Coturnix japonica: one gene and its partners. The protein of the gene in region 2 interacts with the protein of the main gene of each other region in a pairwise test. Links are inferred from orthologs where the notes say so. Each region holds a gene or a part of one and is shown on either strand. Other genes may lie near its edges. The genes, in order: DTNB, HMG20A, HPCAL1, RPP30 and BRAP.

Region 1 (5,567 bases), on a different chromosome or scaffold from region 2:
CCATGGATCCAACTCCAGCTAAAGCCACAGTCCTTGCTCTTGCCCCAACCACAGCCACCATCCCAAATCGCACCATCTGTTCTTCCCCAAGCACCACCACAGGCATCTCCTGCCATGTTATAAATCATAGCCTGAAATGCTGTCATCCTGGTTCCGTATCTGCAACTTCAGCTGTTGCCTCACTGCTTCCTAATTACTTTAATTTAGGGACTAAATAAATCAGCTTCTGAGCTATCAAAGGGACGTGCTGCTTTTTTCCTCTTGTTTTGGGGTTGTTTTTCAAATACTCCATTTGGTTTTATGTTGTAATTCCACTCGTGAGACATCCTCCAAAAAAAGCTCTGATACCCTGAAGATCTGATAACCACTATCAGGCACTGCTTATGACATGAATGCATGTAAACGATTAAAAGTACTCCACCAAAAGTACTCCATTAAAAGAAATCCATTAAAAGTTGGGTACAGGTTGCCCAAGGAGGCTGTGGATGCCCCATCCCTGCAGGCATTCAAGGCCAGGCTGGATGTGGCTCTGGGCAGCCTGGGCTGCTGGTTGGTGACCCTGCACATAACAGGGGGGCTGAAATCAGATGATCATTGTGGTCCTTTTCAACCCAGGCCATTCTGTAATTAATTCTATGATTCTTTACTTCACTACACCTCTTACCAGGAAAAAGGAAGAGCTCTAGTAGTTATTTCATGGGCATACATTTAACAGGTTTAATGTCCCTTCCAACCCAAACCATTCAATGGAAACCCAAGGACAGAAAAAGAAGAGCCACTCACACTAACAGACCACCAACGCCTTCTTTCAAAGCATATTTTACACAATTCTGATCATTCTTCTAGTTCAACTACAATTTCAGACTCAGTTCCCAACCCTAAATGGAATTAATTAAAGCATAAGTAATGGTGCACAGAAGTATTAAGAATGCTTTGATATGTTACCTCAATATCTACACCAACCTGACAACAGAGCATCCATGAGGAACCGCATACACCTCCCGGTTCTACGGATCCCAAACAAAGCTCCAATGTTTGCTTAAGAACTTCACAAGCCATAATGAATGGCAGTTTAAAAGAGCATCATCAAGAAACTCCAGATCAAGACCAAGCCTGTATTGAATTACATTGCAAAGTCACAAGTTAGCGTTTTTTTGGTGTTGCTTTTACATTTTGGGGGCTTTCCCTTGTGTTTGTTAATTTTCTTTTAAACACAGTGGATCAGGAGCTGCTTCTAAAGAAGGTTTTGTAAAAAGCACACAGATATGATACAGCACCTTTCCTTCCCTGCAGGCATTCAAGGCCAGGCTGGATGTGGCTCTGGGCAGCCTGGTCTGATGGTTGGTGACCCTGCACACAGCAGGGGGAACTGGATGATCACTGTGGTCCTTTTCAACCCAGGCCATTCTATGATTCATTCCATGACTGCAAGAGAGCCACGAAGCTAAGCTTAGGCACAAGTTATCAGCAGGAGCCTATCTAAACACTAAACCAAATGTGCACCTTACAATCATGATTTCTCCACTTTGGCACTGAGAGAAAAACCCGAAACATAACTCAACATAAATGTTACAAATTTAAGTCCTTATCACCAAATCTCACCACCCCAAAAGCACAAAGTTAAAGAGCAGCAGTGATAAGGCTAAGAAAAGCAGGCTGCTTTCTATACCACTCACAACTGTTATTTATGCTGGTACTGACAAATAATGTGACGAACGAGAGGGCTAAGCTGGAACTGCCCTACAGCAATTAATTCTTTCCATCTTCTCCAGTTGCTTGTCAGCAACAACACCCTTTTACCCAAACTCTCCACTAATCTAAAATATCCTTTGGAAACACAGAAAGCAACAGCCTCAAACAGACAATTCTGGGTTACCTCTATTCCTTCGAGTGCACTTTGTAATATCAGCTGGCAGTACAGGATCACACACACTTACCAATGAAAGGCAGGAGGACAAATAAAAACCAACCCAAGTAATTCTTCAGGCCAACGTTTCTCACATTTCCCAACGTGGAAATGAGAATTTTAACTTCTTTTTTTTTTTTTTTGCCTGGAAAGCCACAGCAGCCAACAGCAGAACAAGGAAGCTGACGCACTGCACACTCAGTTTCAGGAACGTGAATAAGAAAACTGAAAGTACAAAGCGTTTTTAAAGAGCAGCACTGCACAGCTGATGACCAAACTCAAGGCAGTGGCTCGAGTGTTATCAGAGCGTTCTCAAGCAGCACACAAACCATTGGCAAAGGGCTCCCCAGCCTATCTAGGGCTTAACAATCACTTATGAATAAGAGGAGCGCTGCACAGAATCACAGAATTGTAGGGGTTGGAAGGGACCTCTAGAGATCATCGAGTCCAACCCCCCTGCCAAAGCAGCTCCCTACACCATGTCACACAGGTAGGCGTCCAGGCGAGTCTTAAATATCTCCAGAGAAGGAGACTCCACCACCTCCCTGTGCAGCCTGTTCCAGTGCTCCGTCACCCTCACTGTATAAAGGAACTTCCTATGTTGTACTTTCATCCCATTACCCCTAGTCCTATCCCCACGCACTACTGAAAAGAGACCAGCCTCACCACTATGACATATACATATATAGCACTATGGCTCTCCAGGTCCATCAGGTTGCCTAGAGAGGTGCTGGATATCCCTGCACACAGCCAAGGTCAGGCTGGATGGGCTGTGAGCACTGATGGAGCTGTGTGTCCCTGCTCAGTGGGACAGGTGGTCTTTAAGGTTCCCTTCCAACCCTAAGGATGCTCTGTTGACCATGAACCCACAGACACAGCCTGTTTAGCTCCGTGCACATCAGCCCAGCCACAGTTACCTGGATGCCACATTACCTGGATGGCACACGGAGCCTCTCAGGGCAGCAGCCACCTCAACTCCTTCTGCCAACATCGAAGGACGACCTGAAAAACAACCAACCACACGAGAAAAGAAAAAAAAAGAAAGAGCCACTATGACAAACAGCCGGTTATCGGCCCCGTTCAGCTCAAGCTAAGACCCAACTTCATGCTGCACCCTTAGCGGGAGGCTCCACGTCGGTACACGGACGGGCTGCCCATGTCACGGCCTGGAGGGCCCAGCACTCCCAGCACCGAGCTTGGGACGGGTCTCCTTCCTCAGCCCCACGCCGCCCTCCCCGTTTCTCGGCTCTCGGAGCCCGCCGCTATTAGCGCAGCCCAATACATAGACAATCCGACCGGTCCCATTGATGCCCGCAGCCCCCACACACCATAACCGTGTTGGCCGCCCCGCCCCGCTCCGCCCGGGCCGCATCCACCGCCGCTCCGCCTCACCGTCCCCACTCCAACGGTCCCCGGCCGCCTCACGGCGCGCAGCCAATCGCAAAGCGTCTCCGCGGGGGCGCGCACCCTCCGGCCAATCCCACCCCGCCCTCTGCCTCCGAGAGCCAATGGCTGAGCGAGCCCTCGTGCCTCGCCCCGCCTCCTCACCTCCACAGCCAATCGGCGAGCGGACGCTTCTCCGGCGGCGGACGTGCGTGAGCTCGCCCCGCCCCTCCTCGGGAGCGCTCGTGCTCTCCAGCCAATCAACAGCCGGCGGGGCTTCGCGCGCTCCCGTCTCCTGCGCAGGCGCAGTGGGCGGTCAGCGCCTCTCCTCAGGGCGATGAGGGGACGTCGAGATGGCGGTAGTGAAGCTTCAACCCCCTCCACATCTAATACCAGCCCAGGCTGCTCAGGGCCACATCCAACCTGGCCATGAACACCCTCAAGGATGGACGGAGCATCCACAGCCTCATTGAGCAGCTGTTCCAGCACCTCATCGCTCTCACAGTAAATAACTTCCCCCTGACATCCAACCTCAACCTCCCCTCTTTGAGTTCTCTCTCAGTAACACTTTAATTCAGCCCACTGTTATGTTTTCCTTTTACCCAACTGGGATGCTGTGTAAAACAATTCTACCTCTTCTCATCCAGCGCTGCTGCCTGCCCTGTGCCCCCACTGCATTGGAGCCATCCGCATCTGAATGGAATTACAAGAGCAAAACACCTCCTGGGACTCAGCTTCAGCACAGCTGCCATTTAAAGAGCTGTGGTTTGGCCCAGCTTCAGGGGGAGGTCAGCAAAGGGTCTCGGTAAGTGTGAAGGGAGACGGCAAACCCAAATTTAGCAGCAGGGAAGAAGAAATAAAAGCAGAAAAATAAAGCCTTGGGGTTGGTTAGGTGTTGTAGGGAGAAGTGGAGGACTTGGAATAACTCAGTGTATTTTTCAATTAATCTGAAGTAAAAGGAGATATTTTCCAACAGGCTGTGTATGGGTTTTCATGTGCCTGTGTTCTTTTTCTTTCTTTTCCCATAGTGATGCAAGAATACTAAAAGAACCACAAAGAAACCACAGAGACCCAAGGAAAGGGAGCAGCCCGAGCTCCCCAGCTGTGAGGTCTCACCAGCACTGAGGCAGCAAAGTCATTCCAAGGACAAACCTCTCCTCAGTGATGAATGGTGCAAAATATGGCGCAGATTGGAGCCGCTGGCTGTCGGAAAGGTGAAGTGCAGGAGGACAGCACCACCTCAGGTCTGGTCTTACAACAGGAGAGATTTGTGCAGAATTGGCTGCTCCAAGGGGAGCTCTTGATGGCACATTGAAGAGCCAGAGCATGAAGCTTACACAACCATCGCTTGTCTGAGCTCACTGCGTTGTGACAGCGGGTGAGCCGGACCCTCCTTCATACGGCATCTCCAAATGTGACGTGGTTCATGGAGTGATTAGAAATGTCAGACTGGAAGGAATCTCTCAGATCACCAAAAACATCTCCTTCGTATGACTGACTGCTTTTCACACAGAATTGTAGGGGTTGGAAGGGACCTCCAGAGATCATCGAGTCCAACCCCCCTGCCAAAGCAAGTTCCCTACACCAGGTTGCACAGGTAGGTGTCCAGGCAGGTCTTGAATATCTCCAGAGAAGGAGATATTTCCACCTCTGGTATTTTGCCATTTTCATCCCTTCTGGCATAGCATGTTTTTGCTCTATCCTTCGCCATTACAACAACTGCTCTTCCGCAGTTACACATTCACGCCCTTGAGCTCTCACAACCTCAAGTGCCCGGTGTTCACAAGTCGGAAGGCTCTGAGTCTAAACTCACTTGGCTGTAATGAGATCAGCCCAAAAGAAGCATGAGCAAAAGGTTAGGTTGAGAGTGGCCTCACCAAGACACCGGAGTAACACATTTGCTGTCCCATTTTGCTTGACGTTGTAACTGAAGAACTTTAAATTCTGAAGGTAGGTGTTTTTCAGACGAGCAGCTGAGTACCAAAGAAGATCCCTGCAGCCTTTAATCTATATGTGTAGATAGAGGTACCTCCGGCTGTGTGTCCAGAGCTGCTCTTCCATCTCATGCATACCCCCACTTAACAGCAACTGAGATAAAGCAGAAGCTGAGATCAGGAACGAGGAACAGCCTCCTTTTTGTTCCTTTCTGGTGTGACAAGATAATTGCTTTGCTTGAGCCATGGGTGTGCTTCTTCTCTATATTTAGACATTGATTCTGCAGCGTTTCTTTCACTCACAAGTTTTGGGTTGGTTGCAATTTGGCAGAGAACAAAACAAA
Region 2 (5,801 bases):
GGCAATGAAATCACACAAGTAACTTACCTTAAAAGAAATGTTACCTTATGGTTACTGAGACCCGTTGTAAGGATTGACTGTAACACAGTGACCTTGTACAGCTACCCATTGTAGCAGTCAGCTGCATTTTGTTCTGCTTTTGTATGCCAGACCCCATAAGCTAAGAACGTTTATCAATGAACTCTGATCAGGCTGTGATTTGATAAACTTACAGTTTTTCTAACCCTGCAACTCTTTCCTTTGGGAGAGCAGGAAAGAACTGAAGCTGGGTATCTTCTACCATCTCAGCTACATAGCTGTAAAGACTCAGAGAGCTCAAACACCAGAGCCTATAAAAATAAGGAGTGCATATGAAACCTCCCATTTCTACCAATGGTAAACACTCGTATGAATTTACATGAGCCACCCCCAGACACCAACAGTTCTTGCTAGTTGGACTCTCCTTGTTAGCAGCCTGTTATTGAGTGCTTTGAGATCACCTGCCCAAGTGAAGAGAAACCAGGCCTAGAAGGACCAAACAGCAGTTTTCCACTGCCATAGGAGAGACTAGCCCAAACCTATTGAACTACCAGCTACTTCAACCACAGCATCTTCAGATGGGCAGAGCTCTGGTCATTAGACAATGTCTGTGTATCAGCATGCTAAAGAAACAATAGCTTTGTGTTGATGTTTTTAGTTGACACAAGGTGAAATGGTTCAGCAAAGCATGAAGTAAGCACAGCAGCTGGCAGGGAAGGAAGGATACAAGTAGCACTGCCAATACTGACCTACATTTCTAACTCCGTGGCCTGAGATTCAGCTTCTATCCCCCTACAACTCAAGCGATGTCAAAAATGAAGAACACTGGAAACGATTCCAGTAACTGAGGGCCCTAAAATAGCCATAAGTGGAAGGAAATCTGAATACCAGAAAAAGAATTAGGATTATCTCATAAGCTGACTTGACGTTTTCAGTTTTTTTTCTTTCTGATGTCAAGCTAAACATTTATTCTGCTAATGAAAGATGAGATTCTTTCCCACGAGTCTGGAAATAGAGAGCTCGAAATCCCCCGGATTCTGATTATTTTTCTAACAAGAGCTTGTTAGAAAACAATCTATGACATTGCTTCTTCATATCTCATATGAATTGCATAATACTTACTTTTCTACCTTAATTAAACTGAGCATAAGAATAGAGACAAATTCATTCCCATGTAGTGAAAGAGAGGATAAAGGCAAATACTGGTTGTCTCAGCTCTATTTCAGCCAGACAATACCCACCCTACAGAAGAACTTAAGAGCACTTAAAAATAGTCTCTAAACCTTGAGACTCCAAAACACTCATGCATCCAATGCAGTGGTAGCTTCACATGGAATATCTTCCTAGATTAATTCCTGAATTTCCACCCTTTTGGCAGCAGCAGATGTCCTTGCCAACACCCTGGATATGTGAAAACAAATACAAGGAGATGTGTGTTCTTAAAGAACAATAGGCTGTGGGGAAGTAGAAAAGAACCACTGCACCAAGGAAAAAGGTTTGTAGTAGTATTTAAAAGCACCACTAAAACATATTTAATACACAAACTTCCTCCTACCTTGGTGCACCGTTCACCCCATGCTGGGAACGCTTCCCCACCCACCTCCATAGCAGAAATGCAATGTTAGCAAACTCCAGAGTTAGAAGCGTGAAAGAAGATTCACAGTTTACTGTTTCCAATACTTGGCTTGATGCTGTTTTTCTGTTGTATATTCCCATGCTATTACCAGAACCTGTTGTGTCACAGCTCTTTCTCTCCTCTGCTCCCCCAGCTATGGAGACTGACACTTGACTTTCCCAATCGTGACGCCAGACACCACGTCTCCTGAGCACTACTGTGGGATGCTCTTCATTTCACACAATCAAATCCAGCTTTGGATCAACAAATAACAATGGCCCCCCATGGCTTTCAAACTGCAACCAAGTAAACTCCAAACTAAATAATCCACAAAAACACCAGCTAATTCCATGCGAGTTATCCATAGAGGAACCACAAAACAGAGCTAACTCTATTGACCACCATTCATTTAACACCGAGAACCCATCTCATTAAAGCAGCTAAGACTCATTGGCTCTGGCTCCTTCAGAACAATACAGAGCCCAAACCAGGCACATCAACACCCATAAGTCCTAACAAATACTGCAGATGACTTATTTTGAAAGGTGATTATTAATACATTATCACAAGTTTCTTTTGGCCACAAACAATCCCTTGGATACCACGGAATAACTAAAGATATGAACTTGAAGACACCAATGGAACGAGAGCAGGCTTCACCCATGACAGCACTGAACTGCCTACAATTCATCTGCATTCAACACCAGAGGAATAAAAACCAGAACGAGACAGAATTATCAGACAGCTTCAGCTGCTTTAAGAATTAAAGGAAGAAAAAGATATGCCTCGTATGCCTCAGTGCTACAAAAACCAGCACAGTTCCACACATGCTTCAGGTGGGAGGGAGTAAAGATCCTCCAGCCACAGCCTGGGGAGGGCAGGATGAGGAGCAACAGTGCAGCAACCTGTACCAGCTTACAGCGGGACGGGAGGAGTGACTCTGCCAGGTGAGTATAGAGCAGTAACTCAGCTCACCCTCACTGCTTCCACTCAGCAGACCGGGAGCTCTGGGCAGCTCAGCACACGTCAGCTCTCTGTGCAGCCCTCGCCATCAGACACAGCCGTGGCCACCGAGGGAACGTGTCCTGCAAGAACAGAAGATGGAAGGCGTTTAGAAACCCTGCAAAGCACAGGAGTTTGTGTAAGTCACAGTCTGACACATGTAGAGCTGAAGGCCGCACTGTAGCTACAGCATTCCTTTGGAAACGGGGCTCACCCTCACCCACAGAACAGGCACCTGTCAGCTACGGACCTCAACACATGCAGGTAGAATAGAAAGACTAGATTTATACTGGGAACAGTGGAGTTAAGTCACACACTGTAGTTTCTCTATTTTAACAGAACTGGAGGGCAGCAGGCCGAGCACCCCGCTCCATAAGGGACTACTGAGGGATGCAATAACGTAACGGGTAATGAGAACGATGGAGCCGCGGGGAACCGCCGTGTGATCACCAACAACAGACGCGATGAGCACGAAGACACGCGCCGAGCGCTCAGCCCCACGCGAGCCGCAGCCGTCGGCAGGCCCGAAGGCGCGTGCAGGCCGTGCCGGCCGGTCCCGTCACGCCGCCCCCGGCTCCACACAGCGCCCCGGGCCGCCCCGTGCGGTGAGCGGGCAGAGCGGGCCCGTCCCGCTGCACTGACCTGCGGGGCTCGGCCCGGCACTGAGCGTCCCCTCGGCCCCGCCGCCGCCGCGTCCCTCACAGAGCCGCATCACCGCGCCTCCACCGGCGCGGATCCCTCCGCCCCTCACCACAGCTCTACCCGGAGAGGCCCCAAAGGGAACCCGGGCTGGAAGCGCAACAGCCGACCCCAGCAGCGCTTCCTGCCCCGTCCCCTTCCCTTTCCACCGCCTCAGAGCAGGAGGCCAAACTACACCCCGGGACTACTTTTTCCGCGCGGGCGGAAGGACACCATTACCTTTGGCATTCTGCTTTAAAGCCGGGAGCCGCACCGCGCGGTGCACGCCGGGATGCGTAGTCTTCCCTCTCGACGATCCCGGCGCGCGCCCTCGGCCTGGCCCCGCCCCCTCTCCCCTCCCCAACCAATGGGCTGCCGGGGTGGGCGGGGTCGCCCCGCCCCTCAGCGCGCGCGGGGCGTGTCCGCGCGGCGCCCGGACTCGGTGCTTGTTGCGGGCGCGGCGCGCGCTGCCCGGAGCGGGACCCGGCGCGGCACCGCCCGCACGAACACGGAGCTGCGCGCGGCCGGGAGGCGCCGCGGGGACGGAGTCACCGTGAGGTGCGCGGGGCCGGGCCGCCCCTCGGCCGGGGGAAGCCAACGGGTCGGGTTTGCTCGGCGGGGCCCCGAGAGGGGGACGCGTGGGGGGGGGTGAGGAGGGAGGTGCGGGAGAGCGGCGCCGGCTGGGGCGGGGGGCGGCGGGGCGGGGTGGTGAGGTGAGGTGCGGGGCGCTCAGCTCAGCTCAGCTCAGCTCCGCTCCGCGATCGGGGCGAAGTTGTGTCCGGGCGGCGGCGGTCGGTGCCTTTTGTTCCGGGCTGCGCTGCCTCCATCCCGCCTCCATCCCTGGCTCCTCTGCCCCGCACCGGGACGCCCCGCCGGCTCGGCCCATGCGGCCCCGGTGTGAGATGTGCGGAACAACAGGTCGGATCGTGCCTCCCCTGCCTCGTTCCCGGGTTAGCGCTCCCGGCTCTCTCCTTTCCTTTTCCTTTTTCCTGTTGTGTCCCTTTATCCTGCGCTCAGAACAGAAGGGCAGTTTCCCCACTCGCTGCTTTCTTCCTCCTACTGACGTCTGGCACTAACCCGCTTTGGGGCTGGGTTCACCCCAGCGGCCGTTTCCCTTTTACATCGTGTTCCTGTCGGACCTGCCTCTCCCCAGGCCTGGGATCAGCTGCTGGGATCACAGTGTCCCCCCCTGCACTGCAGCCGGGGTCGTGGCCCAACGTGTGGTGTGGAGGTGTGAGCTGCCGTGCTGCCGTCATAAGCATGTGCGGTGTGGAAAGAGAATGCTTGGCCAGGGAAACAAGACTGTTCTCATGCTGCTATTGCTGAGATAGATCCAGGTGTTTGTAACCTGCTCGCGGTAGAACAGCGGCAATCAGTAAGTCACAGGCTGGTTTATTAGTTAAAGTGAAGTTCAAAGAGGTAATGTCAAGTTAACTACAAGCCACGTGTGGCATCTCATGGCTGACGGCAGCAGCCAGGAGCCATCAGTGCGGCCACATTCACTCCACAGCCCCATCAGGTAACATGGGGGGGAGAGGTGTGTGTCCCCACAGGGCTGGCACAGCACTGGGATTTACGTTCTGCTGTTTCATATGGTAGCAGCACAACAATGTGTTGCTGTCATTTGAAGTTTAGAGTGGAAAAATACAGGCTGCGAAGCGGAACGAGGCTGTGGAAGTGGAGAAGGAGGCGAGAGCTTTGCTGTTTGTGGGGTGTCAGTGACAAGGATGGAGCTCTTGCTTTTACATGCTAGCAGTGCCAATCAGTTGTTCAGTACCTTGAGCTGCTGTTCCAGTAAGTTGTGGTTTAGCATGGTAGCCTGCTATGAGCAACCTGTGCTGAGAGTTGCCCCTGCCTACAGCAGGGGATGGAACTGGGTGATCTTAAAGGTGCCTTCCAAGCCAGACCATTCTGTGAGCAACAGGTATTGGGGTGGCAGATGATGATGCCAGGCACACAGATACTTAAGAGATGCACCCAGCAAACGTAGTGCTGTAACAGGGGTGCTTTTGCATCAGTTGCAGCAGCAATAAGAAGGTAAGCAAAGCCATCCTGCTGCCCTCACTGCTGGTTTCAGAGGTGCACATTGTAAGGCTCTTGGAATCACACAGTAAATAAACAGATAAAAGCGATATCAGGCCTCACGCTGTGGGCTTCTGCAGTGCTTGTTTTGATAACACCTTGTCTGAGGTCAGTGTGCTGCTAAGAGGTGACATCCTTCCTTTATAAGGATGCTGCTGGTTTAGAATATGCTGCAATAAACACAACATTTAGCAGATAAAGGCCATCTCCTCGGTGCTCCGGCACATCTGGGCTGCTGTGGTTCTTGATGGAGGCTCTGTAGGAGTGCAGATGGGGGGAGATTCATGGTTACACTTATAATGTTTCCATCAATCCTTTTAACAGGGGTGGTTCTGAGCCTCAAAGTGTCCTTTCCTGAATGGATGCCTGTAGTTATCAGGCCGCCGTACTGAGCTCATCCAGGTGG
Region 3 (5,584 bases), on a different chromosome or scaffold from region 2:
ATGCAGCAGCCTCGATGCAGTGAGCCAGGCAGCTCCTTCCAGGCAGCTGCTTCCAAGCCAAAGTTTTAAGTTGCTGCGTTCCCTTCAGCTCTGGTGAAGGGGATAAAGGTTTTTCCAGTGTTTTCTAATAGACTTAACAGATGTTGCTCCGAGGCCCTTTCCTAAGCACCATGAAGTACGCTTGCTTTCCGCATGTTTGCTTTCGATCACGCATTTAATAACTGAGCTCCATGCTGCTGGAGATGCACACCCAGCATCATCCCTGCTCACCCCTTGCAAACTGCTCCCCTTGCCCCCTTGAGAAGCTTTGTTCTAAGAAATGCGCAATGATACCCTTTGAGAAACACCATTTACTTGTAGAAAAAAAAGCCCGGATAAAGGGGAAAAGCAAACAGTGCCCCACCAGTGCTAACTGCTCTGACAGCTAAGCATGGCAGGGCCAGCAGCAGCAAGCTCTCTCTCTCTTCACACAACAGAAGAGCTGCCAAGAAGAGAGAATCCTGCTCACAGTGCCCTTTAGAGAAGCCTAGAAGAAAATCCTGCTATCTCAGCACAGCAAAAAGCATCTATTCTGTGCAAGGCACATTCACAGAGGTGAATTAGAAAAACAGAAGGCGTGGCCCCTAGTAGGCTTTTTTCTTGCCTCCCACCACAGCCACCCTCGCCTATGTAAAATGATGTTGCAGGAGCCACGTACCAGTTCCCAAGCATCAGAAAGATCTGTTTTCCAAGCCCATGCCCAAGCTACACCATCTATCACCTGCTGAAAGGAGACTGTGGCGAGGTGGGGGCCAGCCTCTTCACCCAGGTAACAGTGATAGGATGAGAGGCAATGGGCTCGTGTTGTGCCAGAGGTGGTTCAGGTTGGATATTAGGAAATATTTCTTCTCAGAAGGAGCGGTGAGGCAGCAGCACAGGCTGCACAGGGAGGCTGTGGGGTCACTGTCAGTGGAGGTGTTCAAGGAACAAGAAAACGTGGCACTGATGGATGTGGTCAGTGGGCAGAGTGGGGATAGCCAGGAGCAAGGTTCATTATTCCTTCAAAACACACGTTTGGTATTTGCATACCAGCACACACGTGTGCACACTCGCATCCCAATGCTCGTACTCTGCATGGTTGGAGAACTGGAAACAAACACCTCTGCCACTCTGACTAGCACGCTGGTTAATTCCTTACGATAAACACATTGTCTGAAACAGAAATTCAATCTAATTGCAAAGCCAGCTGCTTCAGCTTAGCCAACCCTCCTGGCACAAGCATCAGGATCTCGGTATGCCTCATTTCTAGCAAGCATCTCTGAGGCCAAAGCAGCCTCTTGGGACTCAGCCTCCTGCCCTTGAGGTCTCCAGCTGTCCCTACCAGCCAAACCTTCCAACCCAGCTGGAGTTTTGAAGGTTTACCATCAGCCAGACACCTTTCTGATGAGGTTAAGATCACAGCCACTGAAATCCTAGCAGTGATTGTAGATGTCATCAACAAAACTGGCAGGTCTCAAAGGAGGATGCATTAGCTGTACGTAACTATAGCTGTGCCCAGCTTTTGGTTCTGCTTTTTTGCCAGACAGATACCAAGTAGATTGCATTGCTCAATACAGGTAGTTCAGTCATCAGGAAAGACATTTGAGAGCGCAAGAGAAGAGAAAAGCTGGTTGGGTTGGACAGGTTATTCACCTGAACCCCCTAGTTACAAGCAGCATCTCTTACTGCCAGTGGCACATGTTGTGCGATGCAGCCCAGGAGACGTGCAGTCTTTCTCACATTACGAGCTGGATGCAGCCTCCAGGCTCCTGCCTTCTAATTGTAGCACAGACAGCGCAAGGTAATGTATCGTTCATTGCGCAGCCCATCCTATGGGTCTCCCAGCCATTGGCACTGGATTTCCACAAGAAACCGATCCCACATACAACCACTATGGAAAGCACAGGAGGAACAAGGGAAAGAGCTCATTTCAGAAAAGAAATGGTCAGTTTTTGTTCCACTCGCTGGAAAACGTATAGCATTTGTTACTGAAGCTGTCCTAGGAGTCAGGTTTGAAGGAAGGAGCAGCAGCTCTGCAAGCGAGAGATCCCCTTCCCACGAGCATCAGTGCATCTCACACACACACAGAGCACAGTCTCATTCCTCACAGTCTCGTATCACCAAAAGCAAGAAAAATCCCTACACTATAGAGAATTCCAACTCAGACTGCCCACTTCGTCTACCAGCATTCCCATCCCTCTCAAATCAAGGTAATCAATACATCAAAAACTATTTGCACGGCTTCAAAAATACAACAAATGATGCTGCACGAATCTTTTTGAATCGCAACCATTCCGAATCACAGATCATGTCGGATTTCTTTGGGTTTTGTTTTTATGGTTTTTTTTTTCTTCTGCAGAGCCACAGTCCCTAAGCTGACTTGCTCAGCCCAAACCAGCTGCCTGTGCCCGTCCCTTATGCCCAATGCCAGCCCTGCATCCAGCTGTAACATAGAAAGCCTCTGCAGCTGGCACAGCTCTCCCCACCCAGCACTGCTCCCCAAGAAGATGAAGCAGCGCCAACAAAAAGCGCTTTTTTCACCGGGATAGCTGACAGCACACGAGTTCTGCTGCCAGCATTGCGACATCCATTCTAAAGAGGCGAGCGGTTCTTGTTTTTCCCTCCCCTACACAGTTTCCTCCACTTTAAGCCAGACATAACCATCACACTGAAGGCAAGAAGAAGGCAGGTGTGGCAGAGAAGCAGCGCTGCCGGCCGGCATCTCCCCATCTCGCGTAGGCAGAGATGAGCACAAAGTGCCTTTCCCTAATGACAGCCGAGGCTCGCAGCTGCCGTGCGATCCGCTCGCGTGCGGGGAAGGGCCCCGGGGCTCAGCACCGGCGGCGATGCGGTCCCCGTGCAGGCACACGCAGCATCCCCGGCACCACCCAGGGCGGCTGCTGCCCGAACGGCCGCCGGGCTGTGCCGAGAGGAGCCGGGAGCGTTTGAACCCACAGCCACAACAAACGGCTCCCATTGAGAAAACGTGTCGGGGACGGAATTATTGCCTCCTCCGTTTGTTTTCCCCGCAAAGAAAACTCCGTCTCTCTGCCACATTTATATTTGTGAACGGGACTACGGTACAGCCTGCAGCTCCAGCGCTCGCCTAGCATTATTCCTGCGGAAATAAAGCCGCCGTTTTCTCATACGCACACAAACTACACAGCCGCCTTCTCCCAAACTAAGCCCAAACTTCCCCGCCCGCTGCGGCCGCCGCTCCCCCCCGTTCCCGGTGCGGGGCACCGAGCGGACATCGGGCCGCTGAACGGCCCCGGGGGAGGGGCGACCGAAGCGGAGCCAGCGTTCAGCCAGGGCCGGTTCGAGAGACGGCAATAGGAAGTAAGATTTCGGGGAGCCGACTCCCCGAACGCCACTCGTGCGGAGCGAACTTCGCCGGCTCCAAGATCCCCCTTAACGCACGCGGAACGCACGGATCCCCGCGTCCGTTCTTCCCGGCACCGCGCACCTCCACCCCGTAGCATCCCCGGCGCTGCCCCCCGCCGCCCCCCGAGCCGCCCGCATCCCGCCGCCCCTCACCCGGCTGCGGAGCGGTCCCGCGGCGGCCTCCCGGCAGCTACAACTCCGCGGCGGAGCCCGGGCGAGCCGCACGCCTGCGGAGCGGCGGCGAGAGGAGAGGAAAAGAGGAAATGAGCGGGAGGCGCATTGGAGGGAGGGGGAGGAAAGAGCCGCCGCCGAGGGAGCGAGCGGGAAAGCGAGGCACGGAGCGCAACTTCCCCGCGGGGCAGCGGCGGCGCCGGGGGGCGGAGCGGAGCCGGATCCCGCAGCACTGCGCAGCGCCGCGCCCCGACGGGGCCGCCCAACAGCCCGCAGCCACTTGGTATCGCCCGGCCGCCGCGGGGCAGGAAGTGCGGGGCGGCGGGGAAAAGTTGATCTCTTTGGTTTTTTGCTTTTTTAATTCCCTCTTCTTTTTTTAAAAAATTATTTTTAATATATTTTATCTTTTTTTTTTCTTCCTTTTTTTTTTCTCCTTTTTATTTTTTTTTATTTTTATTTTTTTTTCTTCTAACCCCAGTGCAAACAAGGAAGCTCTCAGCTGCAGGCCCTACAACGAGTTCTGCCACCGCAGCCAGCACGTACCCACCGCCCCTCCCCTCCCCATCCGTGCCCGTGCAGGTGGATCCCTACGGGTGCGCTGCCTCTGGCCGGGGACAGCCGCCCGCACAGCGCACCCTGCCACAAAATGGAGGGGATTGAGGGCTCAGTGCTAAGCTGCTTCTCGAGGGAGGTCATGGGAAGCCTTGCTAAGAGCTACGGCCTGCAGAGCGCACGGGGGATGAATCCTTCCTTTAGGATTTCTGTTTTTCCCTTAGCTCCTGCCCGGCGCGCTTTCAAGTCAGGAACGTATAGAGAATTGAACGCCGTTCCCGTTGTGCCTTATCGGCAGCTTTCACTCTGCCTTCCTTCATAGGAGTCCAGGCGAGCGCACGAGATAAGAACCGAGCAGAGCTGAAATCAGGGCCACACCAGGAACAAAAGATCTGGAGAGATTTCAGCAACAAACCTTGGGAGGCACAAAAAGCCTCCGAAATGCAGGTTTTCAGAGCTTATCTCCGTACTGTGAGGGCAGAAAACTGAATTAAGAAACAAAAATAGAAGGAAAAAAAAGCCACATTTCACCTCTAAGGCAAAGCTGGAATACGTTGTAACTATTGATGCAAAGCTGGAATACGTTGTAACTACTGATGCAAAGCTGAAAGTGTTGCTCTGCAGTAACCCATTTCTCCAGCCCCTTTCAGAGCAGCTCGAACCATTTTGCCGACTTAAAAAATGACCTATATGTTTATACACATAAAGGTCGGCCCAAGGCAAAAAACAAGCTGGGAAGCTGGCGAACCTGTGCTGTTAAAACTAGAAGCGACTCGAAACAGGAACACAGAATGGAAAACTAGATGCAAGCACCGTCACTGCCAACTTCACACGCCTGCAGCCCGCTCCTCCTCGCGGGGGGTGGTTACACATGAGTAATCCCCTCTGTTTCCCTGCACACCCTATGTGAGCAATGCCAGGTGCTGGGGCTGTGGCTCATTTGGGGCAGGCAGTTGCACAGGCAGTGACAGCCCTTTGCCCCACTGTCAGCTGCTCCTCACACACATGGCCCTCCAGATCCTTCCCCATCCTCACAGTCTTCATTTGGATGCCTAACTACTTTGAGAAGTGCCCCATCCAGCCTGGCCTTGGGTGTCTCCAGGGATGGGACATCCCCCACCCCTCTGGGCAACCTGTGCCAGTGCCTCACCACCCTCACTGTACAAAACTTCCTCTATTAAATCCAATGTAAATCTCTCTTTAAGTTTAAAACCATTTCCCCTTGTTTATTAAGCCAGTCTAGTAACCCTGTGCTCACCTAATGTGGGTCTTTACCGACCATGGTGCCATAGCTGTACTGGCATCCTTTCGGTTGATTTTCTTTCTGCTTTTCATTCTGTTTCTATAATCAGAAGACAGAAACAATGAGGGATTGAATTAGATTCATCTGGATCATTCCAGCTCTGCTGAATCTGAAATTACCCTGAGAAATTCCTTCTGCTGTCCGGTGCTTAATCAC
Region 4 (5,583 bases), on a different chromosome or scaffold from region 2:
CAGCCTGTTTCAGCCTACAGCTTTATGAAGGAAACTGTGAAGGTTATGATTAAAGTGACCATTGAGATTCAAGCTACTGAGTTGCTGAGATAGGTGGTGCCAAATATCTTTAGCTCCCTAAAATGCTAAAGGCAGAACTGAAGCCAAAGAGACATATACACATATATATCTGACAGCTGCTACCCTGAGTTGCCCACTGGAGGTACATTAGAGGAATATCACTTCATAAGACCTGAAAAGGTCTTCCCTAAAATTTAAATGTGGCATGAAAAATGTTCCTCGAGGGTAGAAAAATTGGCCGCACTAGGAGGACTTCAGGACACGGGAGAAACAAAGCACACTCAAAGTCTGTGACTGACAGTGAGAACCACAGCTATGTTTTAAGTAGATCACTGGGTCTGGCCTAAACAAAAATGTCAACATCCAAGTGGTTGATGGGGGAAATAAGGTTGCACACTGGTCTGCGTAAGTAATTGATGATATGTGATGCTGGGAGGGCCATCACAGAAATAGGGTTCTGAAGGATGATCTGTTTAAGTACTCTCCATTTTAAGTGCCTCGAGAAAAGGTTTGTTTTGCTTGTCTGTTGCCTAAAAAAAAAAAAAAGCTGCTTAATCTTGTTTAATGTCTCTGAACATTAGTCCAAAAGAGATGTTCAGAAATAATTGATACATATTTATGGATTTCTTCTCACATTTATTCAGACAAATTAAATCAAGTTCCATCATACACTGTCAAAAAAACCAAACAAACAAAGAAAACAAAAAAAACACTTGAAATAATGCTTTGAGTTCTCCCATGTCCACACACTTCACAGAAAAGCCTTAAGAAGACCATTTGATTTGGGCTGTGTGTTCAGATATTTGGCAGAGAAGCAGCACTGGCTATTCCAATAGGAAACATGTTAAGGGCACAGATAGGCCAAAGCAGAATTTGCTGAAACATAGGAAACGTAGGAGGAAGGAACATCTTCCAGGGAGACCTGGATAGGCTTGAAAAATGGACCCACAAAAACCTAGTGAGGTTCAGCACAGCCAAATTCAAGGTGTTGTATTTGAGCTGGGGCAACCCCAGACATTCAGACTGGGAGAAAAACTCACTGAGAGCAGCCCTGCTGAGGAAGACTTGGAGACTTGATGGACAAAAAGTTGGATATGAGCCAGCAGTGTGCACTTGCAGCCCATAGAGCAACTGTATTCTGGGCTGCATCAACAGAGGGGTGGCAGCATGAAGAGGGAGGTGACTGTTTCACTCTGTACTGTCCTTGTGAGCCCCCACCTGGAGCACAGTGTCCAAGCCTGGGGCTCCCAGCACAGGAGTGATATGGAGCTGTTGTGATGGGTCACAAGGATGGCCACGAAGGTGCTCAGAGAGCTGGAGTACTTCCCTGGAGATAGGTTTGTTCAATCTGGGGAAGGCACCAGGGAGATCTCGTTGCAGCCTTTCTGTGTTTAAAGGGAGCTTATAAACTCTTCGGCCTCAGTGTGCCAAGGAGCAGTGCTGTGGGCAGGGACGTGCCTGGGAGCTGTGGGCATTGCTGGAGCAATTCTGCCTGGTTAAGGGTTTAGCATTCCAAATAACCCACTGAACCTCCAGGCTCAAGGAAGTGGAAGCAGAGGGCTTGTGAGGCCTCCCAATACCACCTTGATGATGTGAAGAAATCACAGCCTTGCTTGTTTTAGCAGCTGCTGTAACTGTCCCAAACAGCAACAAAAGTGGTCATTACCACCTGTATTTCACATATGTGCTGATTAGCAGCAATAAAATGGGTGGGTTTTTCAACAGTGCTACAGAGTCAAAGCATGTTTGATTTGTGGTCTCCTGGAATTGTTCATCTCTTTTGCATTTTAGGGAATATCTCTAGAGAAGCTGGGACTAATCAACCTAGGATTTTATTTCACATTTTTTAGTTAACGCAGGAAAACGATGGCCTTAACTAGGAACGGTTCCACCCCCCCTCGGGCCATACAGTAGCTGCGCTCGGTGGGAGGCGATCCGGCCGCTAAGAGGAGCAGAAGCGCATCTCCCCCTGCTGGGCAGCGCACACACCCCGAGCTCCCGACTGCTCCGCTCGCAGCACAGCCCCCCACGGACACGTTCAGGAGCGCATAAAAGCTCGCACGCTCCATCACCCAGAGCTCCGCCTGCTGGTCCAGAGCCCATCCCGCTCCTCGTAGCAGGACTACCAGCCCCAGGTTGCTCCGGGCCGCCGGGGGCGGTGCCGGCTGCGCTCACAGCCTTCGTTCCGCCCCGTGCTGCGCAGCATGGCCGGCTTCGCCGATCTGAACGTCCCGCAGGGCGCGGATAGGAAGGCCGTGCAGAGCGTGCTGGAGGCTGCGGCGAACCGTGAGTCGGGGCTGGGAGCGGGTGGATGTGTTGTTGAGGATGGGGTGGCTGTGCTGGAAGGCGGCGCTGGCTGAGGGCTGCAGCAGCGGCGTGAAGGATGGAGAAGCGGGGCTGGACGGGGCGGAAGCTCCATGCGCCGGTCCTGCCCTGCCCAGCGAGGGCACGGGGTCTGTGCTGTGCCTGAACAGCGCTGTTATTATCTCCGGTTACTCTCCAACCTCTGCAGAGAACTTGTTCCAGGGTTACTGATCTTCAGCACAGGCTTTATGGCTTTCTCTAGTCCTGTCCACCACGGCAGTCTTTCTGTTTGTATCACCCTTCAATCGTGGTCACATCTCCCCTCATAATGCATCTTCCAGTCCGCTGCTGCAAGGCGCAGCCTTCGTGTCGATGCAGAGCCGGGACCTGGCAGCCTGTGGCTTACCCCACTACCCCAGGCTCACAGCCACACCTCAGCCTGCCCTGCTGTACCCATTAGGTAACCGTGCATCTCTGTGCGTACCCCAGCACTGGCCGTGCACAGTCCCTTGTCCTTGTTACTGTCAGTCAGTGAGGATGTGTTGTAAAGGCTGGCTTGTGCTAAAAGAAAAAATTGTACTCTTAAGACACATCTTTGAGTTAACATTGAGCAAAATTCACTGTGAAAGGTAAATGTGCACATCGTTATTGATTTTGAGATATTTAAATAATGAGCATGTGACAGTTTTCTCCTTGTGTCTGTTTCCATTACTTGCTGATCAAAGCAGGCTCACAATGTGTTTTCTTTTTTAGTGGGATATTCTGCAGTTGCTCTTAATCACGTCATCGATTTTAAAGAAAAGAAACAGGTAATTTCAGTTCAGCTTCTTTGTTGGTGATGTGTTTGCTCTCGTAAATCTCTGTGCCACTCCTCTATCCTTTGTTTTTACGCACTCACCTAAATGAAGGCATTTGTATTTATATTTATAACAGAACTCTGATTTTATAAGCCTGTATTACTGCCCTGGAGTTAATTTTTACTATGGTCTGTGAATTGTCCTTAGGAAATATTTTGTTAGTATGTTAAGCTTATTTTTGGAGTTGGAACACAACTTCTGTGTACATTCTAAACATCCCTGTTGTATTTTGGATAACTTTGTTTTGTTTTCTTTTAAGGAAATAGCCAAGCCGGTGTCTCCATCAGAGCTGTTTCCATCTTTGCCTATTGTGCAGGTGTGTTTATTACGTTCCATCTATGTGTTGTTACACTGAGCTGCAATTTTTCCTTTCAGTTTATCCACTCCTCAGAGAAACACAGTGAGCCCTTCTTTCTGAAGGGCAGTTACAATATATATGTTTTATATTAGGGAAGCATAACTACAGACTTCCAGAAAATTATTATAGGCAAGAATTGGTGCAAGGCACAACTTTCTTTTTATAGTAGGCAGGGTGAAGGTTGCCACAAAGTTTGTCAGCTTTTAAAATCTTATATTATTTTTCCATCATAGGGGACATCTAAAAGACTTAAAGTCTTAACCCGGCTGACACTTGTTGTTTCTGATCCTTCCCACTGTAATCTCTTGGTAAGTACATTCAGTGTATCTGCTTGTTTGTTTGTTTGTTTTAATTTAATTTTCTCAACGAAAGAATGACACTTTGGGAGTTGTGTATTGGATTTAATGGATTTCATAGGATACTCAGTACTGATTTCTCAGACCAGATCTTTAGAATCTGAAGCATCATGACCCCTCACGCAAGTGTCTGTGAAACAGAACGTGATTGTGCTGATCGCTTATTAGTATGGGGTAGCAGTTCTGTTCCTTTATTCTTTTATTTGAATTCTGGACTTCCATGTGTACACTAGAATACCAGGAGGGAGACCAGTGTGTGTTTGTGGAGCTGTGTGCTTGAGACAAAAGGTATGTGAGTGGATGGGACAAGCCTCAAAATGACCTCAGAGAATTGCTCACAGTAGAGACCTACTATTTAATTAGATTATCGTCTTTGTTTTGGTGCTTGAAAATGGTGAGGAAATTTTCTCATTATTATTTTGGTTATAATCATTGTGTGTATGCTTGTCACCTGCCAGAAGTCAAGGTAGTAATTATTTCCTCCTTTTGTAGAGATCTACATCTGCAAATATAAGATTGTATGACATCATAGCTGTATTTCCAAAGACGGAGAAATTGTTCCATGTAAGTACTATCTGTGAGTTGTCATAGAGCTGGCACTAACCATCAGTGTCTTGGAGTGCTTTGAGTGCATGCTTTGTTTTGTTTTCCATTCTATATAGCCATGTCATGGGGCTAATTAAACAATGTAGGTTCTCTGGTCAGCAGCAGGCAGACTAAAAGATTGGGAGAAATCCTAGAAGGGTAAAGGGCCTTGATGTGATCAGTTGGTCCTAAACGTCTGCAAGTGGTCTGACTGACTTGCTTTCAAATGCTCAGCTCAACTTCTTGTCAAAATGCTTTCATTGCAAAATGGGGGGAGAAAAAGTGGCACATCTGACCATCTCAGGAAGCTCCTGAGTCGTATCATTAAGAGTGAATTGGAAGAGTTGGTAGAGGTGATCTGTCTGTATTGCCCTTGGCAGACAGCAAGCTGATGTGCAATTTGAAGAATGCACTGTGTCACGGAGTTATCTAGATCAATCTATGTCTGTGATGGGGGGCAGTAGGCCTGTGGGCTCTCCCTCCAGCCCCAAGAATGGAAAGAAAAAAGGGAAAGGGGTAGGGAGATGGGAGTTGGGCTCAAGGAGATAAACAGAGCAGCAGCAACAATCTAAGGAGGAGAACTTATTTTACTAATTATGATATCGGAATGCAACATAACACAATATAGTATGATCTAATTGAAATTGGGGCTAATAAATCAAGTGAAATAAGAGAGAGAGGTTTCTGAAGACCAAGAAGCCTACTTTAAAATTGAAGGTGCCACAACTTGGAAGCACACCCACACTTACTGCCAGGCAGTGTGAGAGAGAGCCAGTGTCACTTCTGTGATGTGTTTTCCTCTCTGACCGTGAGGTACTCTGGGACATGTAATTCTTCTCTGTGTTCCACATGATGTTATGATGTGGAATACCGATAGCAAAAATTACAAAACCATGACACACTGGGACACCAACTGCAAATGTGAGTCTCTTTGGAGGAATGCCGGAATTTACTTTCAAAGAGAGGTTGTCGAGAAGCTGACATTGTTTTTCAGTTAGGTTAAAGCTACTTTCTGGTGCTGCTCAATACCTATCTTTGGAACATTAAAACTATATTTTTCTGA
Region 5 (5,706 bases), on a different chromosome or scaffold from region 2:
GTTTGCCTGAGAAACCAGAACCCCCCCCCCCCCCCCAAGAATGGTAATTAGCCATATGTAGTTTATAAGTAGGGAAGAAAATAGTGGCTGGGTAGGTAGGCTGTCTGATCATCTTATCTTGCTCTCCTACTTCCCTTGGCAGCAGGGACAGTGAATCTCCCACCTAAATTGCACAGACCAAAGAAATGGGTGTTTGCAGATCACTGATTCTACAGAAGCAGCGAAGCTAAAGGCTGATTTTGGGAAAGAGAAATGCACCTGCAATGGAATCAAGGCAGGCTGGAGATAAGCATGGGAGAACCATTTAACAGGCAGGGAATGAATCTGCATTTTAGACTCAGCTGATTCAAAAAGACTGCATTAAAAAGAGGATTCTGACATGATGTTCCTGGAGCTGGCAAACAAAAGCTATGGTGGAAGGGCTTCCACTGGTCTGAAGAAGACACCTCTGAAACCACCATCTCCACTCACTGAGCACATCTGTGCACCAAATAGCAGCAAATGCCTTTCAGCTGCTCTCTGATTTGTGCTCCGTGGTATCAGAAAGTTATGAAATACAGAAGCTGGTGAAAGTGAAGGCATATTCTGCTCACTATCCTGCCTTGGCAGCAGAATGATAACAGCAATGAGCTGCCAGCCCTGGTGAGATGGCAACGCTTCCTTGATGGTAAACCCAAAAGCTTCCCACACTGCAGGATCCCATTTCCCTGCAGTCAAGAAGCACAAAGAGAGGGATGGGGAAGTGGCTTACAATCTCAAAGCACTGCTGTCCCAACTCCTGCAGAAATTCAATAGTTGTCAGCTCTCCTCTTGTGTACTTGACAGAGGGACTGTTTGCCCCTCCAGAGAGCAGAGCTTGTTGGATGGTGCCGGCTGGAATACAACTCTGGGCCTCCCAGTCTATATGAAAGGAAGAAAGCCAGGAGAGAGCACACATGGTATCATCAGAACTGGGAAACAAGACTGAAATTCCTCTACAGCTCTGAACTCTGCTGTGTAAGACCTGTGCTCGTGAGAGCTGGTGTGATGGGCCTCGTCTTTACTTTTTGTGTGATGTCCTTTGGTGTGAAAGCAGCAAGTTGGGAGTCCTGCAGGGCAGTTGTACCCCAGCTGTGGTTGGGCCCTGACCTGCAGATGTTAAATGTCAACACAGCTGTCAGTTCTATCACTTCTGACGGTGTAATTGGGAATGCTGGGCAGCAGCATCACCGCATCTGTGTGGAGGTGCCACCCAATGGAGGTGTCTTATGGAGACCTGAAAGGCATTTTGTATATGGGAAGCTGGAGCACAGGAGGGGCGGCCATACACACCTGCGGCTGTATGCTGTGGGGCTGGCAGCAGCACTCCGCTCACATTGAAGATCACAGCCCTGTAGGGGCTCCAGCCCGACTGTGTCCGTACCAGCCCCGCGGACAGCAGGATCCTGGAGCAGCGCAGGAACGGGGCACGGGCAGCACTGCTCAGGTACATGGTGGGACTGAAGGGAAAACAGCATGAAACACACACAGCACAGCGTGTGGCTTATGGCGAGTGCTGCATGGCCACACACTGCACTGAGACCCCTCTGGGGTGAAGGAGAGGCCCTGAATGGTGAGATAGGGGAGCAGGGAATGCTTAGGGAGCATTGCAGCTGGAGGGAGCAGGGCCTGCTCCTGGGCCCATAGCCGCGCTATAGCAGACAGGGCCCCAGCTGTGCTGACGTCCCGCAGTGACACAACGTCCCCCCACCCCCCTCTGCACACACGAGCCCTACGGGCCCCAACGAGCCTTGTCAGGCGGCGCAAGTCTCGCGAGAACTCACAGCCCAGTCTCGCGAGGAGCAGCCGAGCCCACTCCGACCCCCTCCCTCGGCTCCTTCCGGCTCGTTCCGCCGTTCCGTGACGTCATCACGTCGGCGCCGTGACCCGGTCGGGGTGAGGGTTCAGAGGTGCTGGAGGCGGAAGCGCCGCTGGCTGCGGGTCGGGCCGTGTCGCAGCGCGGCGGGTCCCGCGGTCCGGGCCCATGAGCGTGTCGCTGGTCGTGATCCGCATGGAGCTGGCCGAGCCGTCCCCGCTGCCCGCCGGCTTCTCCTACAGCGCGGCCGGTGAGTCGCTGCCCCCGGGGCCGGCGCTGTGCTGCCGTTGTGCTGCCGCTGTCCCCGCCTTAACGCCGTCTCTCCTCCCCCGCAGCTCCGGAGATGGACGCCGAGAGCAGCGGGACGGTCCCGGCCTGTTTGGAGGGGAAGGGACCCGGTGAGAGGGCGGCCATCCTGCACCAGCACCTGGGCCGCAGGGAGATGACCGACATCATCATCGAGACCATCCGGCCGCGGGCGGCAACCGGCACCGGTGAGTGCGGCCCGTTTTAACGGGAGCACGAGGGAACCCTTCCATCCACTGCCCTGGTTGCAGCGTTGATAGCAGCACATATTGGATCTGTGGCACTACAGAGCTCTGAGCTCAGTGCTGTTCTGTGCTTTGAGAACTGTAGATGTTTCTCATGTGTGGTCAATAATCAAAGCTTTTGTTTGGAAAGGTGAAGCAAAAGCTGCCGTGGAAGGGAGAAAATCCTGCGAGGCTGCGGCTGAGGACAGAACCAAACAGGATGAGCAGAACAAAGAGCGAGAGGCTGCTCCAGACTCGCCTTCCAAACAGCTCCCTGACCAGATTTCCTTCTTCAGCGGGAATCCATCAGTTGAAATAGTTCATGGCATTATGCACCTGTACAAAACAAAGTAAGAATGTCTGACTAATTGTAGCTGTGATGGGAACGGGTCACCCAGCAGGGTGAGGTGTCACCCTGGGGCTGCGGCTCCTGCAGGGACAAACAGGAAGGGTGGGTCACACCCACGGTGCCACCAGCCATGGGGAAAACATGGAGCCTGGGTTTGGGTCTGATGGCTGTGGGCAGCACTTACAGGCAGTGTGAATGCCAAGGAGTGTGAGGACATCAGTGTGGGTTCCTAACAGTGCAGTTGGGAGTGTGATGTACCGAGCTTTGTCCTCTATGTGATGCGATGTACCTGCTGTCTTACAGCAAGATGACCTCCTTAAAAGAAGACGTGAGGCGCAGTGCCATGCTGTGCATCCTCACGGTCCCCGCCACCATGACCAGTCACGACCTGATGAAGTTTGTGGCTTCCTTCTATGAAGTCATTGAGCACATGAAGATCATCCGAGACTCCACTCCCAACCAGTACATGGTGCTGATCAAGTTTAGCTCCCAGGTAAGAGCTGGAAGTCCCTTTGACATAGAGGACACTGCAATCTGTGTGGGGGGCAGCCCTTTCTTGTTGCCCAGCACTTTCCTGGGGCTCCTGACTGAGGCTTGTCCTGCAGACAAGCACGTGTCGTGTTCTGTGCCCCTTATTTCTTGTTGGTAGGATATTTAAAACTATTAAGCACGTGGAGACAAACCACCTCTACTACCTCAGAGCGTGTTTGCAGGCAGAGTTGTGTTGTGCTTTGCTGAGCAGAAAGAATGCAGCCAGTGGCACTTTATATGTTAGTAAACTTCTCTGAGGAGTTACTGCCAGTCCAGCCTGCCCCAAAACAGGGAGCCTGGGGGTGAATGGGTCACTGGATAACACAGGGTGCTGCTTACAGGTATCCCCTGCTATGACCTAGGTGGACTCTCTGCTGGATCTTCCTTTCTGGGGATCTGAGAGGAGTTTTGGTCAGCTCTTTCCCCAGCTGTGGGTGCTGCATAAGATGTTTTCCATGGCTGTGGTGTAGATGCAGTATTTGAATGCAGTTTGTGCTATCTGCAGCAGTTGCAGATGTGTGTTTTGCATACTGCTGTATAGGATGTAATGGGTAAATACCCAGTGCCTCGCATCAAAACCTGTAGTCAGTTCACCCTGAAATCGCAGTTACTTCAGAAACTTCCTGAAGGCCTGTTCCTCAGTGACCCCTAATGGCTGCCTCTGTGTACAGCAGAAGCAAATCTCGTGTGCCTTTGTGTACCTGGCTCGAGTGATTAGGAGCAGAGGAACGTGGTGCTGAGCTCGGTGTGATCCTCTAATGAAAGGGAGGAGGTCGCTGGGTGCAAATGGGTGACACATCTGATAGATTTTATTTTGGTTTTACCTCTTTGCTGGTGACTCCCACAGACAGTTCAGCACATCTGAATTGTGCAGTGGATCCTTTCCCACATTAAATGGGTCTTATCCTATTGACACAAGTATCGGTGTCCTGTAATGTGACCCTCTGGAGTTTTGGCAGAGAAACCAAGTTTGCTTTGCAAATAACGCTGGAGTTGCTGACAAGAAGCAGAATGGGTGCTAAAGGGAAGTCAGTTATACTCAGATATCAGAGTAACCATCCCTGCTGCCAGCTTTGCTTCTCATCTTCAAGTGGTAGCACCAAGCTCTGTGCCAAGGTGCGATGCCTGCTGGCAGGAGCTGAAACTTCTCCTCTGTTATTGTGGGACCTGGTGGAGGGAAGCAGCAGGGATACAGCAGATTTCTCCTCCTCCTCCCTGCCTGTGTCAGCTGCGGGCTTTTTATTTCAACAGCCTTCCCTTGTTTTATGCGCAGGCTGATGCAGACAGCTTTTACATGGCGTGCAATGGTCGGCAGTTCAACTCCATAGAGGAGGATGTTTGCCAGCTCGTGTACGTGGAGAGGGCTGAAGTCTTCAAATCGGAAGATGTAAGTGTTTATTTTGGTTTCCCTTCTGCTGGATTTCAGCCAGGTCTAACAGTTTATTTCTGAGCAGAACGCTGCAGGAAGTGTTAAACTGTATCAATCTGAAACCCATTTTCTGTTCCGGTGTTGTTTCTACATGGAAAGGTTTGTTTGGTGATCTTTGTGGGCTTCAATCTCATTGTTGCAGTGATCCAGAAAACATCATGGGGCTGTGGCAGCTGCAGCATCCACCTCACCCTGTGCTGAAATGGGTTTGTGCTCAGTTGAAGGCTGTGGTTTGCTTTTTATCTTGGTGAATTTGTAACCACTGCATAGACTTGCAGGATGACTGTGTAGTGTTTCTGTACCTTAGTGCTGGTGGTAATGAGAAGTTTGACTTTCTGTGCAGGTGTTTGATTTATGGTCATTGGAGGGTGCTGAGCAATTTGTCTCTGCTTGTTCTTTTGAAGGGGGCCAGTTTGCCTGTGATGGATCTGACAGAGCTCCCAAAGTGCACCGTGTGCCTGGAGAGGATGGATGAGTCTGTGAACGGGATTCTTACCACTCTGTGTAACCACAGCTTTCATAGCCAGTGTCTGCAGCGGTGGGAGGACACCACGTAAGAGGCTTTTCTTTATTTCCACATCAAAAACTCTGTTCTGAGTGTGGTGGTTCTATGCTGACAGGACCGGTTTTGCTCATCATAGTGTGGGGGCAGGAAGTACCGCAAGTCTTAATACTCTTTCTTTCCTATTAAGAGACTTGCAGGGAGGATTCTCTTAGCCAAAAGTCATTGAGCAGTGTTTCCCATAGGCCTCACTGCTAAGACAGCAGGGCAGCTGCACAGTAATGCAAACCATGTCCAAGTGTTGTATTTTAAAAGGACAGGGACAAATGGTGTTGTGTGCACACAGAGTCCTGTTTCGCAGTCTTGTGTATCTACTTGGTTGTTAGTGTCCTTGGCCAAGCTGTGGCTGTGCTGTAGGTAGATGTGCACAGCTGGCTAAAGTCCTTTTGGAAATGCTTTCCTTTTTGTGCTGCTGCAAATCCTTTCCTGGTTCCATCCTTCACATCCCTGTAGATGGGATTTCAGCATGTG

Evidence for each region.
Region 1: the proteins of HMG20A (region 2) and DTNB interact in binary tests that used the Homo sapiens proteins (3 or more experiments, as listed by UniProt). The two-hybrid records come from large-scale screens. The link is inferred for Coturnix japonica from reciprocal best matches to the Homo sapiens genes HMG20A and DTNB.
Region 3: the proteins of HMG20A (region 2) and HPCAL1 interact in binary tests that used the Homo sapiens proteins (3 or more experiments, as listed by UniProt). The two-hybrid records come from large-scale screens. The link is inferred for Coturnix japonica from reciprocal best matches to the Homo sapiens genes HMG20A and HPCAL1.
Region 4: the proteins of HMG20A (region 2) and RPP30 interact in binary tests that used the Homo sapiens proteins (3 or more experiments, as listed by UniProt). The two-hybrid records come from large-scale screens. The link is inferred for Coturnix japonica from reciprocal best matches to the Homo sapiens genes HMG20A and RPP30.
Region 5: the proteins of HMG20A (region 2) and BRAP interact in a two-hybrid assay, tested with the Homo sapiens proteins (2 studies listed by BioGRID and IntAct). The link is inferred for Coturnix japonica from reciprocal best matches to the Homo sapiens genes HMG20A and BRAP.

The regions. Positions count from the first base shown.
Region 1 is NC_029518.1:95,642,192-95,647,758, forward strand, and holds the start of DTNB (dystrobrevin beta), read right to left. Parts: upstream 3,358-5,567; 5' UTR 3,299-3,357; exon of another isoform or gene 3,235-3,298; intron 2,909-3,234; 5' UTR 2,840-2,908; intron 1,297-2,839; exon of another isoform or gene 1,278-1,296; intron 1-1,277.
Region 2 is NC_029525.1:2,278,883-2,284,683, forward strand, and holds the start of HMG20A (high mobility group protein 20A), read right to left. Parts: upstream 3,405-5,801; 5' UTR 3,278-3,404; intron 2,719-3,277; 5' UTR 2,609-2,718; intron 1-2,608. UniProt on the Homo sapiens protein: Plays a role in neuronal differentiation as chromatin-associated protein. Acts as inhibitor of HMG20B. Overcomes the repressive effects of the neuronal silencer REST and induces the activation of neuronal-specific genes.
Region 3 is NC_029518.1:88,236,908-88,242,491, reverse strand, and holds the start of HPCAL1 (hippocalcin-like protein 1), read right to left. Parts: upstream 3,788-5,584; 5' UTR 3,556-3,787; intron 1-3,555. UniProt on the Homo sapiens protein: May be involved in the calcium-dependent regulation of rhodopsin phosphorylation.
Region 4 is NC_029521.1:17,046,933-17,052,515, forward strand, and holds the start of RPP30 (ribonuclease P protein subunit p30), read left to right. Parts: upstream 1-1,978; 5' UTR 1,979-2,264; coding exon 2,265-2,346; intron 2,347-3,117; coding exon 3,118-3,173; intron 3,174-3,480; coding exon 3,481-3,537; intron 3,538-3,812; coding exon 3,813-3,887; intron 3,888-4,427; coding exon 4,428-4,499; intron 4,500-5,583. UniProt on the Homo sapiens protein: Component of ribonuclease P, a ribonucleoprotein complex that generates mature tRNA molecules by cleaving their 5'-ends. Also a component of the MRP ribonuclease complex, which cleaves pre-rRNA sequences.
Region 5 is NC_029530.1:5,362,673-5,368,378, reverse strand, and holds the start of BRAP (BRCA1-associated protein), read left to right. Parts: upstream 1-1,892; 5' UTR 1,893-2,002; coding exon 2,003-2,084; intron 2,085-2,169; coding exon 2,170-2,328; intron 2,329-2,515; coding exon 2,516-2,714; intron 2,715-3,016; coding exon 3,017-3,206; intron 3,207-4,517; coding exon 4,518-4,631; intron 4,632-5,077; coding exon 5,078-5,226; intron 5,227-5,706. UniProt on the Homo sapiens protein: Negatively regulates MAP kinase activation by limiting the formation of Raf/MEK complexes probably by inactivation of the KSR1 scaffold protein.